Linked DNA regions of Oryzias latipes. The protein of the gene in region 1 interacts with the protein of each later gene in a pairwise test. Links are inferred from orthologs where the notes say so. Each region holds a gene or a part of one and is shown on either strand. Other genes may lie near its edges.

Region 1 (3,533 bases):
GACATAACAGCGAAGAGAACTAAACCGTTTAAACCAGAAAGACGGCTGTCAATCAGCAGAAGAAGGAATACCAACCTTAGACGTTCTAAAGAATATGGAACCTTTTTTATTTCACAACATCACCTTACTATAAATGACTAAATAAATAATCAAATAAAACGCTTAATCAATTATTGAAGATGGTTATAATGATTGAATTCAAATTATATTAATTCACTTGATCAAAAAAGTCATGATTTGTTATGTTTATTTTCGGATAGTGTTATTTGTTCTTAATCATAAACATGATTTTTCTAATGAAATGAATCTGAATATATTCTAGTATATTCTGTATGTGGTATGTTATTAAACAAAATAGTTATAACTACTCTACATAAGTATGAAGTAGTTCATCATTGTCATGTGATTTATTGATACTTAAACATACGTAATGACCTGAAAGTGTTGGTAAGGCATTGATGACAGATGAAAAGTTATGATAATGATCAATCATGTAATAAAATGGTTACGGTAGAACAGAGGTGGGATTATAGAAGTTCTCTTCCTTCCACTCCGTTACAAGCAATCTTTGATTTAATGTCTAATTATCCTAAGTTTGATACGTCTTTGAATGAATGTATGAATGTTTATTGTATTGTTTTGTGCTTTATTCAGTGATTGCTTGAAATAAACCATTTCAAATCAGAAAAATTTCAAATAAATTCTAATTTCATATTTCACTGACCTGCTTCTACGTCATGTACAACATTTTTTTACTGCCAGGCTGTTACTAAGGAGATGACGGCTAAGATTGTTGGTAAAACAGTCTCTACGTTTTAATCAGACATGTGCGCAAAACTTCATTTAGATTCTAGAAAACATCTAAACCTGTTTTGGCCGTCTGGGCCCATGAACACAGTTTAATTCTAATCTGATCTTTGATCCGATCAAAGATATTTTGCAAATGTAGCTGCAGCTATTGTGAATCTGCTAAAAATAATAGAAGCTTTTCTGAATCCTTTTTCCCATCCTAGTGGGGTTTTACCTTTGCCCCTGTCCCATTCCCTGATGTGAGGGACTCCTGGTTTGGTGTCCCTCCTCTCCTGAATCTCCACTTCCACTCTCTTCAGAGTGCTGACCTCTGGGGGGTCATCAGGCTGAGGGAAGGGTCCGAATGTTTCCTCCTCCTCTACTGTGTCTGCAAAAAGAAAAGAAAAAGAAATCCCAACATGCATGAGACTAGAGAACGTTCTTCAAGTTTAAATTTAGACCTTTTTATGGGCGTGCAGAGCAATTAGTAAAGACCAATTTTCCATTTTTTCCTGATTTATGCTCAAAGCTGTAGCTTCTTATCCTGTTTGTGCGGCGATGCTTTAGCGCACATCTCCCTTCTTTGTCTTTCAAACTGGCGGGGGTCCTTCAGTGTTTTGGTACATAACGATTGGATCTACAAATGTTTATTTAGATTATTTTACAAAAACAAACAACATTAAAAAATTGAAGTTCCATCAAGAAATGTCAAACGGAGACGTTTTCGAACAGCACAATTTTAAATTCAGGACTTTTTAAGGTGTTTATTCCAAATTCAGTGCATTTAGGACCTTTTATGACTAGGCAGGAAGCCTGTTACAGGACAGATCGAGCCATATTGTTTTTCTAGGGCTGTTACAGATTATTAGTAGTCAATAACTGATATTTGGAGCTGATAGTCATTTGTCCAAAAAAAGTCAACATTTTGATAATACCAGCACAAACAATTAACTGAGTATTTAAAACACAAGTCAATGAAAAAAGCAAACCAATAGTTCCTAGAAATGCGGGGAGTAAAAGGCTCAGCAGCATCGTTTGTTACTTTTTAAAAGTTAAATTAAAAGTTCTCAGAAAGTTTTTATAGTAAATAAAGTAAAACTCCAAAGCATGAATGAAATGACTTCTCTTTGTGAGAAGTTGAAACACAAACAAAAAGCTAGCGTTAACACTTTGTTTAACATGTTATTAACGTGTTATTAATGCATTAGTGTGTTAAAAGTGACCCCCCCCGGTTGCTAGTAGCATGACACGCAGAAGTCTGAGTGCGTGGCTTGCATAACCAATCAGACGGCGGCGTGGGCGGGACATTGCTGGAGACAGAGCGGCGCAGCTGCATCTGAGCCAAACTAACCAATTCTGAGTCGACCCATCAGATTAAACAAAAAAATAAATAAAAAAGGCCGTTCCTGAAGAAAACGTATCGTATCGATGATTCTAGTTTACTGCATAAATGTATTAGCTTTCAGTAAATATTGAAATGACTTACCTTTACTCTCTTCCTCAGTGCCATCTAACTTTGCCTTCTTCATCTTCCTCTGCCTCACCTTGGCGAGTCTAGCCTTCAGGATGGCCTGCCTTTTCTCCTTCAGTCGTTCTCTTTTGGTCCGTTGATCGGTTGTCTGAAGGTGAAGATGAAAGGATGACGATGAAGGTCCAATAATCATCTACTTAGACTCCAATCCAGTTATTTTGTTCATCAGAATGAGGGAACGAGGACTTTAACAACTAAGAAAATCAGACATGATCTTAGGAGCAAAATCTTAAAGTGGGGCCTTGAGATAAATATGTTTCTGTAACATTTCTGTTTAGTAAATAACGTTTTCTCTTCTCCTTTGGCCTCCATATTGATTGCTATGTACAGGACTGTTTTTTTTTGTACTCTTCCTAAAATGTCTTTTCATCCACATTTATCATCTTTTGAACATTGACAAACGTTTTCTGAGCGAGCTTTCACTGCAGAAAAACAACCCACCTGATCCCTGAGCATGTCCAGAGTTTCCCTCTGCTTCCTGCGCTGCTCTTGATCCTGAGAGAAAGCAAAGTAGCCAACACCGAGCTCTCGAGCCTCTGACATGCCAAGAAGTAGAAGAAGAAGAAAAAATAACAAGTTATCACAGCAAAAATGAGGTTTTCCATTTTTTTTTCTTTCATTTTGTAAAAATCCAATTGAAATGAAGTCAACCTTGAGCTCGGATATCCTCGTAGTGGATCGGTCCGACCGGCCTCTTCATGGCCTCCTCTTCCTCCCTTTCCCACTCCTGCCTCTGCAGCTCGCGGCGCATGTCCTCCGACAATAAAGTCTTGTCAGATGAGATTATTCTGCAAACAAAAGTTCTAGTTAAAGGCTAAAAATGTGGATGGTGAAGCTACAGAACCCAGACTGTTGGAAGCAAATGTGGCCCAAACGAAGGCAATGCGCATTATGAAGCTTTATATAAAAGCTGAGTGGGCCACAAGCTCCCTTCTCCACCCCCCCAGAGGGGAATTTCTGATGAATTCCTGCTGCTCCTCAGAAACTATGTCCTAAAAATCAACAAAGGTTTTTTTTTTTTTTTTTTTTTTATTTGGGCCAAAAACAACGTCATTGTAATTGAAAGACCACTGGGGACGATTTAAAAATAGATCAAAAGATGATCCGAGTGGGACTTTAAGCATAATCCCATGTCAGTACTGTGAGGTTTTCTTGTTTTTTAATAGAATTGTAGATGTTTTCAGGAGACATCACAGCGTTAGAAATAAGGGAA
Region 2 (5,389 bases), on another chromosome or scaffold:
TGTTTTCACTCACCGATGGAAGTCTGGTAGTTTACAAACCCTGATCATTGTGTTTGTTTTTCCAACATAAAGACAAGACTCTGTTCAGAACGACTGGAGGACATTTACAGGGACTGAGCTCATGTGGACGATAACCAAACCCTGAGCCCGGTCCCCTTTATGGACATTTGCTTCATGAGACAAACGCTCGCCCAGACGCTTGGATGTTGACCTCTGCTGGTCTTTCCTGGACTCGGGTTTCAGTGTAAAGCCGATGTGTGTGCACCAACCTTTCTCTTGGTGTTGCAGAAGATGACCGCCTGTGTGATGGTCAGAGTGTCGTACAGGTCACACAGAGTGTCGAACTTCCACTCCTCCCTCTCCACGGCTACAAAGAACTGCTTGATGCCCTCCAAGGTCAGCTCATCACTGAGGCAGAGACAAATGCCGGTCACTCACTGCTGCTGGAAGCCCACCGCTTCAGAGCTCATCGGCGGACTCACCGTTTGACCAGAATGCGGATGGGGTCGGTCATGAACTTGTTGGTCATCTCCAGGATCTCGTGTGGCAGCGTGGCGCTGATCAGGACCACTTGCGTGGCTGGAGGCAGGTAGCGGTACACATCATAGATCTGCTCCTTAAATCCTGCCAAAGACAAAGCAGCGGCTGTGACTACCCAGATGGTCACATGACTGACGCCATCGTGTCCTTACGCCACAAACAGGAAGTGATTTAGGTGACCAATAACCAAACTCTGTCCAATCATGAGCCTATTATTGAAGATTAGACCAGGAAGAAGCAGAAATGATGGAAACAAGGAAGCAGAAGGAAAAAACACATTGGTTTGTTTCTGCTGTCAGAGACTGAAAATGAAGTCTCAGAGATGTCAGGTGCTCCAAACCGGAGAAAGGCTGCTCCTGATTTTTGGTCCCTGAGACCCAGAAGCATCTCCGTCTCTGAGGCCGGCCCCAAACCTCTCAGAGAGCTCGTAGTTTAGGACGGTCTGCCAGAACTTCAGCCATGACGGCGGCTTTGACTGACCAGGGTCATTCAGGAAGTGCAGTCACGCCGGAACTCAACTACAGCATTCCCATCGCGGGAGTTGCCTTCTAAAATAACCGGCCACAGGTGAAATCCACAAGCTAGCTGTCAACATTTCCAGACTTTTCTCTTAAAGTTCAAGCCTTCGTAGAAAAATCCGTCCAGGATTCTAGAATGAAAAAGATCTGATGGCGACGAAGAGCAAAAACACCAACAGCCAAGCAAAGATGTGTGGTGGTGAGATGAAGACCTCCCCATGCGCTACAGAGACCACCACCCCCACCCCCCAAAAGCTCTGCTCCCCCACGAATCTGGAATGTTAAAGCAGAAATCTGAAACCATTCTCTGCAGTGACACTAGCAACACTACAGACATGAATTTAAAGTTCTGACCCTGCTAGCGGTTCTGCTGAAGATTCTGCTGAAGGTTCTTCCTAACCTTCACTTAGAACATCTCCATGTCACCGTTAAAATTCACTGAAGTGTTGCTTTAAACGTCCTAAACAGGAAGTGGTGACATCGCGGCCCGATGGCGTCAAATGGACTTTTCAAATCTGACACATTAAGCCGAAAACACGACCACTGAAAGGAAAGGTGACCTTCAAGTGTGTCTGGAACAGGTGGTTCCAACCTGGAAGGACCAACCCTTCCTGCTCCTTCAACACATTTCAGACGTAACCAAAGGTGCCAGAGTTATTCTGATGACCAGCAGGTGAGCTTTCAGCTCAGACAGAGCTGCTTTGCAGGTACAGAAGACGCTGAACAGCAGAGGACCTCACCTTTGTTCAGCATCTCATCAGCTTCATCCAACACCAGCATCTTGATAGCTCTGGTCCTGAGACTGCGGCGCCGAATCATGTCTGTAAAGAGACGCCGTCAGCATTCCCGTTTGTGCCACTTTTGCCATAAAACCCATTGAACCCACCAAAAACCCGTCCAGGGGTGCCAGCTACCACGTGCTGGCCGTAGTCCAGCTTGCGAATGTCCTCGCCCACGTTGGTTCCTCCGATGCAGGCGTGACACTGAACGTTCATGTAGTCTCCCAGAGCCAGCAGCACCTGCACACAGGACACCGTGACTGGCACCGCCGCCTCTACCTTACAAGCCTTTGGCTGAACATGGCGGTGGAGGCGGGGCTACCTTCTGAATCTGTCCGGCCAGCTCTCTGGTTGGAGCAAGAATTAGAGCCTGGGTCTCCCTGACCTGCAGAAGGAACAGCATCACCACCGAGCTGCAAACGGGTTCTGGCCCGTCTGTCACGGGACACAAGAACAGCAAGAACTCACCTGGATGTCCAGACACTGCAGGACGGAAATACAGAAAGTGGCCGTCTTTCCTGTTCCAGACTGGGACCTGAATGCAGCACAGATCACACGTTACAGCATGGAGGACCAGAGCACCTGCATGTTTTCCAGCCCAGACTTACTGAGCGATGACATCTCTGCCTTTGATGATCTGCTTGATGGCTCTCTGCTGAATGGCTGAAGGCTTCTCGAAACCTGTAACAGAACCAGAACCTGGTCAGGTGCTGTCCATCTTCATTTCCACATAGAGAAACCTCATCTGAGAAGTTCCCATGCTGCTCAAACTGAGGGGGACCAAAGTGGGAAGTTCTGGTGATGCTGACCAGAAAGAAAAGTTTTAGTCCCACAGAAAGGATTTCTATGGAGAAACTGGGTTTTAGGGGTAAAGAAGGATCCTCTCAAGCACAATAGTCCAGGAAAATGTAGAGAATTCATCTTTATCAGTGCAACACTTCAATATTACTGTAGATACAAATCTGATCGATTCTGTCTATTGGGATTTCTCCCGTCCTTTTGGGTCCAGATAATATGTTCATAAAATGTTCTGCCGTCTGGAGAAGACAGAACACATGAACAGAAACAAAATTAAAATACACATTAAGACAGAAGTGTTGACATATATTTATTAATAGTTCTGGGGGAAATTAGTAAAATATTCGCTACATATACGAAGCCATATAGGATGGGAACCGTCTAACTCCTGGATCATGACTGTTACGAGCAACAATACCAACAAAGATCGTGTCCAGGCATTACTGAACGAAACCCGCAAATTTTAGTATCTGGTTTTCGTTTAGTAAATAATCAACACGAATTTAAACTAATTTCATGTCAGCGCGGCCGCACGCGGCCTTAGCATGCTAGCATGAAGGCTAAAAAGATGAAGTTTTTCTTCCCGCCAACGACAAAATGATCAGGTCACACCAATCTACCCGCTTTAATGTAAGTTATTACGGGATGTAGTCTGATACCAACTACGTTTTCATTCCTTTTTTAAGGTGAACTGAACCACACAGCGGATTTAGGCTTAGCATCTGGAGGCGGAGGCCTCTCGAATCCACCGGCCTACCGTAGGCGTAGATTCCCCGGAGCAGGTCCTCACGGAGCCCCATGGTGTCGAAGGTAGGGGTGACATCCACCTCTTCACTGGTTTCAAACTCCACCTTGGTCATGTCCTCCTCCTTCAGGAGTCTTCTCCTGCCCGGTGTCCCAGCAGCGGCCATGACGGTCGTGTCTGTCTTCAAAACGAATCGGTAGTCTCCGCAAAAGGGGGGTAACCGCTTTGCTAGCTACTAACAGCGCTCCACGTGTCGCTCTGCTTACGTCATCAGCAGGCGACCAGGTTTATCAGGCGGAAGAGCAATTGTTTTTCGTTTGGAAAAAACATTTGAGGTTTACAATATTGTGGCAGCTGTATAAAGTGTCAAACCACAATTAAAACAGATGTAACCAACTTCCTGGATCTTTTATTTTGGGAGAGGTGTGTCCCTCCCGGGTTACCCTAATTGACCAGCTGGCCAAGATGTTGTTGTCCCATGGGGGGGGAATGGGATGACCATTTGAAATCTGTTGCTTTTGCTTACAACATCTCCAAGCACACCAGCACACGGTTTACTCCCTTTTATCTTATGCACGGGCGCGAAGCCCGGACCCCGGCAGAGGTTCTCATTCCTAGTGGGGTTGGTGGCATTGGCAGTGCAGCCACGCTGCCTTTATACGCGTCGTCTCTTGTGGAGCGGCTGGAGATTGCTTTCAGTGCAGCGAGGGTTAATGCAGCAGAGGCGCAGGAGAAACAGAAACTGTACCATGATGAGAACTCTCACCACAAGGGCTTTACAGAGGGTGCTCTGGTCTGGCTTAATAACCCAACAGAGGGCCGCACAAAACTAGCACCGCACTGGAAAGGTCCCTATCGTGTGGATCGGGTTCTGGCTTCAGGTGCAGAGGCCGCTTTGACATATCGCATTGTCAACCCCCTGGATATGTCTGAGCGGGCCCAGGTTGTTCATCATGACAGGTTAAAACGTTACACTCTTCCCCTGCCTGCTGGTTCCCCAAACGACAGTATGTCCACCCCGCCATCATCCTCTCCTTCGGCGGGTACTTCATTGGACCCCCCAGATAATGGTGATCCACCCCAACAGGGTCAGAGGGACGCGTTTGGGACAGCCCCTGCACACTCCCGCAGTGGCAGAATGGTGCGTGCTCCAACACGTTATCAGGACTTTATTAGGATGTAACAATACAGAGTTATGTCACAGTGAAATTTTTGTTGGTGTTGTGAGGAGACTGTCATATGTTGTTGTGTTTTCCTTCCTTGAAAGATTCTGTTGAATAATATGCTGTTGGTTGGCAGGCAATGTTGTATTATTATTCAGATTTTTTTTTTTCCTCTCCCTCCTGTGGTGGGAAATTTGCCGGTGGGTTCTGTAAACTCATGTTGTTCCTGTTTGGTTGACTTTTGTTGACGCCATATTGGGTCTCGAATGTTTATTTCTTAATTCATTTATTTTATTTATTTTTTTGCACTCCCCGGCCTGTTGCATTTCCTGTAGAAATTGTAGAAATGAGGACATTTCTTTTGAAAGGGTGGACGTATGTAACCAACTTCCTGGATCTTTTATTTTGGGAGAGGTGTGTCCCTCCCGGGTTACCCTAGAGACCAGGGGGCGTGGCAAGTTAAATTTGGGAGAGTAGAAGAAGAAGAATAAAGAATTGGTGAGCGGATCCACTAAATGGCGGACCTGTTGTCCCGTGTCGTTTATGACCACAGAGTGAATGATTATTGAACCTCCCCCATCGCTCGGTTACACAGATATAGAAAAAAGTTAACAACGTTAATAAAGTTAAGTAAAAACAAATACAAAAAACAATAAAGAAATAAAATACAAACTTAAATAAGACGGATTAAAATAAAATAAAGGGGATATCCACGGGCATTGCAATGATCATGAATTTAGGGATTATCAAAAAGCTGTAAATTATGAAATCATGATACTTAGGAGTTCCATAGCAAGTTTATTTTCCATGATGATGTTTACAGAAGAAAAAGATCAGAGTTCTTCA

Evidence for each region.
Region 2: the proteins of ccdc174 (region 1) and eif4a3 interact in binary tests that used the Homo sapiens proteins (3 or more experiments, as listed by UniProt). The two-hybrid records come from large-scale screens. The link is inferred for Oryzias latipes from reciprocal best matches to the Homo sapiens genes CCDC174 and EIF4A3.

What each region holds. Positions count from the first base shown.
Region 1 is NC_019863.2:3,864,506-3,868,038, forward strand, and holds part of ccdc174 (coiled-coil domain-containing protein 174), read right to left. Parts: intron 3,109-3,533; coding exon 2,972-3,108; intron 2,857-2,971; coding exon 2,762-2,856; intron 2,409-2,761; coding exon 2,276-2,408; intron 1,178-2,275; coding exon 1,025-1,177; intron 1-1,024. UniProt on the Homo sapiens protein: Probably involved in neuronal development.
Region 2 is NC_019859.2:157,342-162,730, forward strand, and holds the start of eif4a3 (eukaryotic initiation factor 4A-III), read right to left. Parts: upstream 3,650-5,389; 5' UTR 3,547-3,649; coding exon 3,393-3,546; intron 2,519-3,392; coding exon 2,446-2,518; intron 2,373-2,445; coding exon 2,306-2,372; intron 2,223-2,305; coding exon 2,160-2,222; intron 2,078-2,159; coding exon 1,945-2,077; intron 1,880-1,944; coding exon 1,799-1,879; intron 625-1,798; coding exon 483-624; intron 409-482; coding exon 270-408; intron 1-269. UniProt on the Homo sapiens protein: ATP-dependent RNA helicase. Involved in pre-mRNA splicing as component of the spliceosome. Core component of the splicing-dependent multiprotein exon junction complex (EJC) deposited at splice junctions on mRNAs.